4 linked regions of the Kluyveromyces lactis genome follow. The protein of the gene in region 2 purifies or fractionates together with the protein of the main gene of each other region. This does not show direct contact. Links are inferred from orthologs where the notes say so. Each region holds a gene or a part of one and is shown on either strand. Other genes may lie near its edges.

Region 1 (1,920 bases), on a different chromosome or scaffold from region 2:
AAGGATTTGTTTGAAAACATCGCCAAGGGTAATTACCCATCTTGGACCCTTTACATTCAAACTATGACCGAAGAAGAGGCAGAAAAATTGCCATTCTCTGTATTCGATCTAACAAAAGTTTGGCCTCATAAGCAGTTCCCATTGCGTCGTGTAGGTAAGATGGTTTTGAATGAAAATCCAGAAAATTACTTCGCTCAAGTGGAACAGGCTGCATTCTCCCCATCGCACACCGTCCCATACCAAGAAGCTTCTGCTGACCCTGTCTTACAAGCACGTTTGTTCTCTTATCCAGATGCCCATCGTTACAGATTAGGCCCTAACTATTCTCAAATCCCTGTTAATTGTCCATATGCATCGAAGGTTTTCAACCCAGCTATCAGAGATGGCCCAATGAACGTTAACGGCAATTTGGGCAAAGAGCCAAACTATTTGTCTACTTCTAAGAAGTACCAATTCATTCAACAATCAAAGCCAATTCAACAACATCAAGAAGTATGGTCTGGGCCTGCAATGCCTGTACATTGGGCAACCTCACCAGGAGACATCGATTTCGTTCAAGCCAGAGACTTGTATAACAAAGTGTTGAGCAAACAGCCAGGTCAACAAAAGGCATTGGCCCACAATGTCGCAGTACACGTAGCAAGTGCATGCCCTGAAATCCAAGACCGTGTATTTGCCATGTTTGCAAGAGTCGACCGTGGTCTATCTGAAAACATCAAAAAGGAAGCTCTGAGCTTATCCCCAAGAAAGGCTGCTGCATTGAATGCAAAGTTATAGAGAGAATTAGCTGTGCTTTCTTTCTCTCTCTCTATCTCTTTCCGCTTTGTATGTACGTTTTATTTATCCCCATATTTATTACAAGTATACTATTAATATCTGTCCGTAATGAGATGCATGGTATCAGGCATTGTAGCCGCTAACATGTCGACTGTTGTCTCTTGTATTCTGCTTGTATTCCCTGTGCTTATCGTCAATTTTCTGCAATATCCAATTTTAATAGAAAAGCAAGGTCAAATTAGCTTACTTTGATATTGAAACAATCAATTCTGTTCTACGATCAGACATAAGACAACAGTACTGACTTGACTTATTCAGTATTTGCAACTATCAAGAGGTGGCTGTAACCATGACTGCTTCTTTGACCACAGATTCGGTTGCCGATTCCATATATCAGAACATTCTTACTTCTATCATCCAAGATATCATCTCGCGTCAAACAGTGAAGAGAAAGCTTCTGAAACTGCAATTCCCGGATGCTAAACCGTATTACGCTGACCCGTCAGGAACATTGGATATACACGGTAAGGCAAAGCAAGCAGACTCCGCCGTTTACATCGAATGTAATGTCTGTGGACGGGAAGTTAGTGGGAACAGGTTCGCTGCTCATCTCGTTAGATGCTTATCACGTGGTAGAAGGTGAGATTTCATTACCCAGCCTTAGTGCAGCCTTAAATCTTCCCCCAAACCCATAATGTGTGTCATTTCAAATCAAGTTGTCCAGCATCGTACCCTGTACCCTTAAACCTGTGATAACGATCTTTAACCCATCATTATAACGGTGTAAAGAGTTGTCAGGTGTTACTCTACAGAAGAGCGGAAAGTTAGAGACACTAGAACTAGCAAGTACCCTTCAGAGAATTAAACTGAGTTACTTATGTCGACTTTGCTAGAGACTTTAGATCAACAATGGGTCAATTCCAGATTATACGTTGATAAAGACGAGCGCAGGACCCAGCTTGGGAAATGTGTTGAAGAAGTGCACGACTTTAAGATCCAGTTGAAGAAATTGAAAGCGCATTTGCTGAAGCATGGATCAAGTCCACAGAAACGTCTTGTTATTAGGGAGAAACTAGCGAAATCTCATAAGAACTGGGATTCTTCCATGAAGAAATCCTTAAACTCTTCTATCAGCACTTACCG
Region 2 (3,183 bases):
TGCACAATCAGAATTACAAAACGAATGGCATTCATCGCTTACTTTGAAAGAGGCGGAATCGCTGGTGTTAAAGATCTTAAAGCAAGTAATGGAAGAGAAATTAGATGAAAATAATGCACAATTGAGCAGTATCACAAAAGAGGGATTTCAAATCTATTCAGATGAGAAAACTGCTGAAATTATAAAAGAGTTAAAGGAAAAGGAAAAGGAGGAGAAGCCTCCTGGGTCCGAACATTCGGATGTCGAAATGGAGTGATAGATTACACTCCTTGTCTTTCGAAACACGTTATTAATCAACAGAAAATCGATTATAAAATTTCATTATTTCTCTAATCATGGATTGCTTGTATACATACAGGAGCTCCTTCTGAGCCTTTTAATGTTACACTTTCGGTATATGTATATTTATACATATCATATATATATGTGCCAACTTTCGCCATGTAGACTGTTCAGGTACGCAAAGATATCGACAAATTAGTATTTCATTATCGTTAGTATTAATCCACAAGATGTGAATACTCTGGAATCTCTTTGACTTTAGAATTGAAGAATTTTTCTAGACGATTTGCGTACTTGAAATAAGATGTGTTTTCACCGTTGTACGCACGACAATTGTTAAATATTAACCTTGCATCATATATGAAATTTTCCATCTTTTCGTATCTGTTCCCGTTTAGTTTCATTTCCATAGAACTCAAATCCATTGGTTCCTTAATAAATTCGTAATAGTCGGGGACTTCTTCCTTATTGACGGGTTGCAAAAAGGGCCATGCCGCTGCATGATTTTGCAATTCGGTGAGAAGATTTTGCATTGCTGCATAATGAGGGCCACGTTTTGGTCTCTGCGCCAGTTCGTCCATTTCTGGAGTCCAGCCAGCTTCTTTTAAACCAGGTATTGTCATTGGATCGATGGGTTTTATATTATCAAGATCCAAGAACTGTTTCAAACCTGGACGAACTATGTGAGATTGAGAAATGCTACGAATTTTCCTTCTAATTGCTGCTTCTTGCAATAAGAGGATTTTTGCTGCATCAAGATACCGGATTCTTGGCAGCATGGAACATTGCATTAAGGTACCACCTTCATAATCCTTTATGTATCCCATCCAGACATTCTTGTCCAATGTGATCTCTTTCGTGAATCCCTGCTTCTTGAAATACCCGATAGCATAATTATCCGCATATGTTAGAAAATACTTTATTGGCGATGTTGCCCTCACGTAATCTTTTAAATGATTCATTAAATGTGCACCGTAACCTCTGACTTGTTCGGTCGAACTAATAGCACAGAAGACAATTTCTGCGAACTCTCTTTTATCAAAAGGTCTATAGGTTATTCCACCAACAACAGTCAACGGTTTCCGTACCACGGCCATAGAAAGATGTGAACGATCGTAAACTAAACGAGCAATATATTCTTTGGGCATCTTAGGCAATTGCTTTTGAAAGATATTCTTTAACCCTGTTAAAACCATCATATTTTCCTTGCTATTATCATTATTAACCACTCTGAATTCAATCTTTCCTTCCTTCTCTTCTATTACACTAGGTCTGTCTTTATAACTGTATTCTTGACCATCAAAGTCAAATTTTGTTGTGCCGGCCTCTTCATCAACGACCTCATTTTCAACTATAGGAGATGTATCCGTCTTTTCATTTGCTTCTTCCTCTAATTGTTTCTCTTCAGCCTTGGTAGTTGTACTACTGGCATTGTAGTCATTGACTGGTGATTCAACGACCTCTTCATTCGTTGTAACTGATTCGATTTTGTCTTCCACTGTTTTTACGGATTCCCCCGCAACTTTTGTTTCAGAAGTTCCGTTCTGTGCATCTATAGGTCCGTCCTCTTCCTTCTGGTCTTCCTTCTGGTCTTCCTTGCTCGTCTTGTGTTCTAAATCATCGGTAACATCTTCATCAACTGCAGATCCGCCATCGATTTCAGTTTCCACAGGCTCATCTTTGGGTTTGATTTCCTCTTTTACAGTGTCAACTTTTCCCCTCTTATTCTGGACTCTTCCAGCACCATGGTGGCGTCTCTTCGGTGGCATTTGGTGCTTAGCTTCTTGTCTACGTGTGACTATTTATCTTGTCTACGTGTGACTATTTATCCTGTCTACTCGACCTAATATATATTCCCGTTCTTGTATGCTTTGGTAATTTTTCAAGTTGATTTATACATCCGTACACCACAGTCGGATAACGAGTTTAGTCTACATCTAAAACATGCCTGGTATAAGCTGATGGATCACGGAAAAAGGCCCAGTTATGTAGGTGTACCAAGCCCGTCATGGCGTAATACGCTGCAAATTGTGCAAGACTTATATTTATCTTGGGAATTATAAAACTAAATTTCATCCTGACCGTTAAATCAGAGATAAACACCTTTTCCTAACGACGAATATCGATTTCTACGCTTCATCACAAAAGGAATGCATGTCACATCATTCCACGCATCAGCCTGTCAGATGCACTGGCTATACTTCACTCTATTGACAATTCCTCGTCGTCATCAAAGGAAATATCTTCTTGAATTGCCAATTCAGCCTCCTCTTGCACCTTCGACAGTCCACTTAATTGCTCCACACACTTATAATCATCTAGCGCCTGTTTCACGAAATTCCATCCGTTTTCCTTTAGAGTTAAAATGACATTTTCATTGCTTGCACAACAGTGCTGATATGCCGGTGTTTCAAGTTTTACAGTTTTAAATTCATTTAGAAATCCTCGTATTTGATGCGGAGCTGACCCAAGCACGTTCGTCGAAGGCTGAAGATATGTCACCAATAATTCAACAGCCTGGGAAGCCGCTAATAGGGCAACACCCGGTCTAGTTACAGTACACATCTGATCTAATGTTCTGTCAGTTAGAGAATCACTTGGGGCCACGATATCGTTACAGAAATAGCAACCCAGGTTGTCATTATTGTTGCCATGTCTCATTACCAAATAACTGTCAAAACCAAGGGCCGCATTAATAACTATTTTTTCATGCATTCGTCCAAGCACCGAGGGAAGCCATCTCGTCTCGCGTGCATCCATTAAAAGAAATATAACATCATGCGTCCTTATAAGCTCGTCCAAAATTTCATAATCCTTCCTCTGCTTGCTTTCGTTCGATACAGGATGTCCTATCATTGGTATTTCCAATTGATAACCTGCAGAAACGACAGAAGGAAATAT
Region 3 (3,052 bases), on a different chromosome or scaffold from region 2:
TCATTAACATCAAGTTTCCTACTGAAATTCTTCTGGGTATAGAGGTCCTCAATCCGTTTGGAGTCGACCTTGGAGAACGGTTGAAATTTTAAAGGTGCCGTTTTTGGTACATACTCTGATTCAAAAGGTTTGGTTTTAGGAATGTCAATTGCATAAAACCACCTAGATGAGAAATAGCGCCTATTTTCTTTCCACATAGCCCGCACCTTCATCAAGCTTCCCCATATATTTTCCTTTATAACAAGCACTTTACCACAATCCTGTACGGATTGTAGGCCAGCGTCAAGGTACTATTTCATTCTAGTTTATTTTTCAAAATATTATCTTTTTGCATGACAATAGGGGAAAACTTTTTAAGTTACGGATGACTGAATAGATAAAACATTCGACCTAAGTGATTGCATTAAACATTGCTGGCAACGCAATCCGCTGGAGTCAATTAAAGTTCTTTAATTTATATGGTTACATAGTGTTTTCGTTCCTTAAATATTGAATTTCGTTCAGTCATCACGATTGAAAGACCTAAGCTTTGACTTAGCACGAAGATTATAATGTCTAGAACGTTTTTCTTCCTCAGGAATGTGATTCTCGGTGACATGTATGACATCTGGTCTTGCTTTCTTTTCGGCAGGCTTATTCCGTTCATTGAGCATACTCCTTTTTCTAGGTTTCGGTTTTGCTTCTTCTTCTGAAGCGGTTCCTAAACCCTCCTCATCCTCATATTTCATTATCGTTTCAAGATCATTCTTTGCGTCCTTGACGTAGTTGATTATATCCTTGAAATCGTCCTTGCCATACATTTTCTGAAGATGGGTCGTTGATTTCGTTAGGGCGGATTCTTCAGCTACCGAGGTTGCCTTCGGCGTGTCTTTCGTAATTTTTTTGTCATTATGTTGTAAGGGTATCGGCGAAGCCAAATAGCTATCCTTTGGAGTTTTCTTTAACTCTTTGAACTTCGCTAGGATCTCTGGATCCTGCTTTTCATCCGGAAGTATAACCTGGTTACTGAGCACCGCTAAGGGTTGTGACTGATAGTGGAGAAAATGTTTTAGCCTCATATGATTGACAATACCTTGCGCAGATGTGAAACCTTCCCTTCCACATTGAGAGCATGTAATTATTATGAGTATTCCATCAGGTCTTCTGAATATAGGCTGACCCAAGTCAGTGGTTCCGATCATACCACTGTTGCTAGTAGCGCATGTGCTACTGAAGTTTCGTTGGTGATTATGGTGAGGCATCTTCGAAATTATTGCCTCTGATTTCTGTACCTCAGTGGCTGAAGTTTGTTGAGGAACAGTCTTTATGCCACGCATACGAATGTCAATAACGTTTTCATTAGCAAGCCGTAGCCCACTAACTTTCGATCCGCCTTTACTTCTTGTATGGTAGTAATAGATTCCCTCGCGGGTTTCCACATTTGAGCATCCCGCCTTGATGCTTTCCTCCACCTCTTTAGTTCTCGTCTCTTGGTACTTTGAGATCTTATCCGTTAGTTCAGGGTCATCATGCATTATCTTTAACACTTCCAACTGCCCGGATACCTTATCATTCTCTTCTATTATATGCTCCATTTCTTTATGTGTCAACATGATCTGCAAGTTTAGTTGGTCCAGTATTTCTCTTCTTGTGGACATAAACTTTAACCTTTCAGCATCTTCATGTGGGTGTGACGAGTGTATAGAGTCATTATCCTCATTATCCGCTATAGAAGAGAGTTCATGTGGTGATTTTGGAGTTGCCACTTGGTAATATGATATCGTGTGGTTTGATCTGGAAATGCTATCTACATCATCTTCATCCATGAAAAGTACCTGATGACTATTTCTATGATCCACAGAATGCATTAGAATATGTTTAGCAACAAATATAGGGTGACGGACGTCTATTAATGTACAAATTTGCTCAGTCTTTACGCCCTTTTCTTCCAAAATCTTTCTATTGTTAATAATCCGTTATGTACAATTTTTTTTTTTTTTGTTACTACTTATATGGAAAATGAGAATGAAGAGAAAGGCTCTAGCTGTTTAAAACCGTAAACACATTGGATAAATTATGCCTATTTTGAAATGGGTCGAGGAAACAGCGCGACAAGAAAGCTGGTGTCTGTAAACCAATCAACATGACCACTTAGTGAGGGACAAATATTGAGAATCTTTTGAGCCGTGATGAGCTCAGGTAGAGAGTCCGTTGTTATCAGTATTTCTTTGTATTTATCCTTTTTTAAAGTTTTCCAAAAGTCATTTTAGATAGATCTTCCAGACTTTAATAAACTGGGCAATACTTAAATTGAGAACACATGAGTGAGCCACTTCCCCTTGACTACCGGTATGTCTGCATATATCTTATGACAGGAAGAGTATGAGCAAAATTATTACGGATCTTGATACAATTGCCGGAAAGATCGAGGAGTACGCAGGAGATACGTTGTTAAGACTTCGAATCTTCGCACAATTTCAGGACATTTCTCATTCACATGAAAGAACCGATGGGATTTATCTTCATTTTAGCAACGTTCCAGATTTCAATGCAGAAACGAATAGAGAAAGATCATATTATTTCTTGATTGATGAGACAATCTATGACGAAGCGTTCATCAATACCAAATCAGGTGAAAGACCACATAAGGGCGATATCTTAGATATGAGATGTTGTTATAGGAAGTACGATAAAGTCGTTGAAATTATGCATCTGAAAGTGATATCGATCGCAGATTTGGATTCATTACGAGAATTCTTGGCGAAGGCGGACGATGACTCAGAGATTAGATCTTTTCTTCGATGAAAGAGGAGAAATGTTACTTGTATTTCTTTGTTAAAATCTATTAACGATTGTAATGTACATAAAGAGACAGCACACATGCATCTATATGAATATATAAATAAAGCTATGCTTCTCAGAGAGGTGAAGTTAAATATATCGATGCTCCGGGTTTAGAATCTGTGATAATTTGAATCTTAATCATGAAGGTAAAATAAAAAGTAAGTAAATTAAGCTGAGCGAATCCCTTTGAAAAAAGGTATTTGCTATCCAAGAAAGAGAGGTAGAAAGA
Region 4 (3,327 bases), on a different chromosome or scaffold from region 2:
GCAACTGGTTGGTTACGACCATCCGATGCTGATGAATGGTCAAAAGTGTTGGATCAATCCGTAGACATATTTGAAAAGAATCACTCCTTATTCGAAGTTAACGGTCCTAAACGTATTAAGTACTATTTCTCCAGAGAAGCGATGTCCAAAAACTTTGATAATACCATCGACCATATTATTTGGAAGTCAAGAGGAACGCGTTTATGGAGCACATTAGCTCCAGGGCTACTGATGTTCACTGTCCAATATGCTACACTGTTGATAACAGGCGATGCTTCTTGGCCATATTTATTGCTAGCTGCGATTTCTTATTTTGTATTAAGAAGTGTAAAGGCCACTGTGTACTGGATCATCGTTTTCTGTTACCTAAACTATTCAACTTAAAAGCGAAGCCAATCTTAATTTATTATAACGACTTGTGCAAAATATATACACATACCCCTCAAAGTTAAGAGATGAAAAACAGACGTTAACAAGCTATTAAGTTTCTAAATATTACACTAATTAACTCTTCCTCCATATCCATTTACACCAAATTGAACACCAGGTTGATTTGAATTGCTTCGACTTTGAGTATTAACCGGTGAGCCTATTGTTTGCTGCATCAACTTAGAAGCCGTATCTAGTTGAGCACTGGCGTCTTCCATTCTTTTCTTCTGCAGGAGTTTCTGTTGCTGTTGTTGCATTATTAGCTGTTGAGTTTGAATATCCCGAGGGGTGATGCCCTGGGTCATCATGGGTTGTTGCCCTGCAGGTTTTCCAGCCTGAACTGACTGTGGAATTTGCATTTGCATTTGAGATAACGATCCGGTAGCACTAGATTGTCGTTGCCGCTGTTGTTGTTGCTGTTGTTGCTGCTGCTGCTGCTGTTGTTGTTTCAAACGTTGGGCCTGTAATATTTGAAGCTGTTCTGGTGTCAAGTTTTGAGGTGATGCGTTAATAGGTTGAGGCGTACGTATACGGAACGTATAATCAGTCGTTCTATCAATGTCAATAAGACCGACCCTTGAGCGGAACGCACCAACTCCAGGGCTCTTAAAGCCTGGTTTTATACTGAAAGCAGACCCAAACATTTCTCTCATTCTGACGTACTTGGTTCTTGATCGTGTAGAAGTCAATACCGTAGTTTCTAACGGTAGTGGGTATGAACGTGAAACACCGTTCAAAACCAGAGTAGTCTCTTCTTCAGGGGACAATTTGGGTAATGACTCATTGACCACTTCATTGCTGCTGGTTTTCCCAGTGTTTTTATCTTTCCCCTTTTGTTTAACTTGTGGATCCTGCTGATTTTGCTGTGCCTTTTGGATTCTAGTCTTGGACGCCGAAGATTTCAACTGGTTGCGTTTCTGATAATCAGCTAATAATATGTCAAATGGCTGTGACCGTCCCTCCACTGCACGTTTCGCTCCCATTGAGTGCGATTTACATGTTAATGATCTACCGCAAACACCACCTTCAGGTAATGGTACACCACACTGTTTATCGAAGTTAACCAGATGTGGCTCTGTCGGGTTTCGCTGTTTTATCTTCCTTTGTTTTCTAGTCGATCCAGAAGGAGTGGATGATTTCTGTTTCTTTGAAGGTGAATCGAAATTCTCAGGATCTATCGACGAGGATCTCTTATTACTCCCCTTACTTTTAGCAGGAGAAGACATGATATCCTGCGTCTCATTCTTTTTCACAGGCATTTTATCAATACAGTGATTCTCTAAATGATCTATAATAGCTGACACCAATACCGGCTGGTGGCAAGCTGTACAATTCCTATAACGGATATCCTCTTTAGAAACGCCAGATAAAACTTCTGACGGCCTGCTCAAGTATTTTGAACGAATATCCGTGGATGATAAATCCGAACTATTCCCGTTATTCTTAACAATAGACAGTAACTCCTTCCAACCGTTCTTGCTACTTCCTAAATCTTCTAATTGAATGTCTGATCTGATTCCTTTAATCTCTATATTGACACTTGACATGCTCTTGTACCAAAATCAGCCAGGTAAAAAAAAAATGATAGGGAGAATTACGATGGAAATGATGAATGAATTGAGACAAGCTAACAATGATCAAACTGTCCTTACCTAGCTTTCAAAAATAAACCAGAGTCTATCGGTGGTAATGCAAATTGGTGCCTAACTATGGTAAAAATAGCACGTTAAAAAAAAAGAATCTGGTATGAAGTGAGCCCTCAATATTGATTGTACAAAAGTAACTTTTGTGGCAGGTAAATAACACGTTAGAACTATCTCAAAAGCCTTTTAAAATCTTTGGATCACCCGCTCTAAATACTTTCAAGCATCTGAATTCATGTATTATCTTATGAAATGTTTCTGTCCATCGGTATGTTATTCCTGTCGAAATCGTCGACTTTCAGAAAGGGAAACTTGAAAGTTCTTACAATCACGTGATATGACTTAATGGAATGTGTCAATCCCCCACACACCAATTGGTCCGTCGATAATCGAATTGCAAGCTAAATATAACATATTTCAGGATATTAACTTCCTATGGTATGTGTGTTATATAGATTGTCTACGAAATGAAATGACATTTAAATGAAGTGGATTCTTCTTAACAATAAAACGGTTACTTTCAACAAGGTGATATCATGGAATACTGGGACAGTGGCCCATCTTGAGCTAAGGATCCTTTCAGCCACTTCGAATACCCGAAGTCTAAGGTATAGTCTAAAACCTTCAGAGCTATTGAAAATTGGCGGTACAAACGGCACTGCTTTCCGAATGTACTCATCTCGAATTGACACTGAAGCTACCGGATCATCAACGATAATCCCGGTAATGGTCATACTACTGATATATTTGATGTCAATTTCGGAATTGACGGTCCAAAGGTATACGGCAAGGTTGTTTTCTTGCAAGTATGGTAATACAGTTTTCTTGAAATCGGGTTTCCAAGAGTTAATGAAATGAAGACTGACACCATGCAACTTGTAGTTGTCATCGCTCAAGGATTTAGAGTATTCGACAAATTTAGTAGCCATCGCTGTGAAGGGTAAGATGGCCACGATCTTGAAACCCTTCAGTGTGGCCGTGGTGACCCCGTATTTGTACCAATCAAGTTGCCACAATCCGAACATCAAACGTTGCCTCCAGAAATCTAAATCATCGACTACTGCTCTCATTTCAAGAATCGCCTTGATTAAAAGAACCTTATCATTTGTAGGCTTGATATCCAACATAAATTTCATTGTAGGGTGTTCTTTTAACCATTGTAAGGCGTCCTTGAATGTCGTTATCCTGATTTCTGGATTTATCTTACTCTTCAACAGTAGTAATTCATCCAAGTTCGTCTCACCTATCACGACAT

Evidence for each region. The genes of interacting proteins can lie anywhere in the genome.
Region 1: the proteins of GCN5 (region 2) and SGF11 purify together in Saccharomyces cerevisiae (affinity purification with mass spectrometry; 8 studies listed by BioGRID, with this or other methods). This does not show direct contact. The link is inferred for Kluyveromyces lactis from reciprocal best matches to the Saccharomyces cerevisiae genes GCN5 and SGF11.
Region 3: the proteins of GCN5 (region 2) and AHC1 purify together in Saccharomyces cerevisiae (affinity purification with mass spectrometry; 5 studies listed by BioGRID, with this or other methods). This does not show direct contact. The link is inferred for Kluyveromyces lactis from reciprocal best matches to the Saccharomyces cerevisiae genes GCN5 and AHC1.
Region 4: the proteins of GCN5 (region 2) and SGF73 purify together in Saccharomyces cerevisiae (affinity purification with mass spectrometry; 13 studies listed by BioGRID, with this or other methods). This does not show direct contact. The link is inferred for Kluyveromyces lactis from reciprocal best matches to the Saccharomyces cerevisiae genes GCN5 and SGF73.

The regions. Positions count from the first base shown.
Region 1 is NC_006040.1:997,544-999,463, forward strand, and holds SGF11 (SAGA histone acetyltransferase complex subunit SGF11), read left to right. Parts: upstream 1-1,126; coding exon 1,127-1,420; downstream 1,421-1,920. Other genes in the region: CTA1 (catalase A), read left to right, coding at 1-777; ubiquitin-protein ligase RMD5, read left to right, coding at 1,655-1,920. UniProt on the Saccharomyces cerevisiae protein: Component of the transcription coactivator SAGA complex. SAGA acts as a general cofactor required for essentially all RNA polymerase II transcription. At the promoters, SAGA is required for transcription pre-initiation complex (PIC) recruitment.
Region 2 is NC_006037.1:454,956-458,138, forward strand, and holds GCN5 (histone acetyltransferase GCN5), read right to left. Parts: upstream 2,052-3,183; coding exon 501-2,051; downstream 1-500. Other genes in the region: PUP2 (proteasome core particle subunit alpha 5), read left to right, coding at 1-256; ATG7 (Atg7p), read right to left, coding at 2,485-3,183. UniProt on the Saccharomyces cerevisiae protein: Histone acetyltransferase that acetylates histone H2B to form H2BK11ac and H2BK16ac, histone H3 to form H3K9ac, H3K14ac, H3K18ac, H3K23ac, H3K27ac and H3K36ac, with a lower preference histone H4 to form H4K8ac and H4K16ac, and contributes to H2A.Z acetylation.
Region 3 is NC_006041.1:833,865-836,916, forward strand, and holds AHC1 (Ahc1p), read right to left. Parts: upstream 1,848-3,052; coding exon 501-1,847; downstream 1-500. Other genes in the region: DDL1 (putative carboxylic ester hydrolase), read right to left, coding at 1-212; KLLA0_E09417g (uncharacterized protein), read left to right, coding at 2,362-2,784.
Region 4 is NC_006038.1:214,243-217,569, forward strand, and holds SGF73 (deubiquitination module subunit SGF73), read right to left. Parts: upstream 1,977-3,327; coding exon 501-1,976; downstream 1-500. Other genes in the region: ALG2 (GDP-Man:Man(1)GlcNAc(2)-PP-dolichol alpha-1,3-mannosyltransferase), read left to right, coding at 1-384; PGC1 (phosphatidylglycerol phospholipase), read right to left, coding at 2,552-3,327. UniProt on the Saccharomyces cerevisiae protein: Component of the transcription coactivator SAGA complex. SAGA acts as a general cofactor required for essentially all RNA polymerase II transcription. At the promoters, SAGA is required for transcription pre-initiation complex (PIC) recruitment.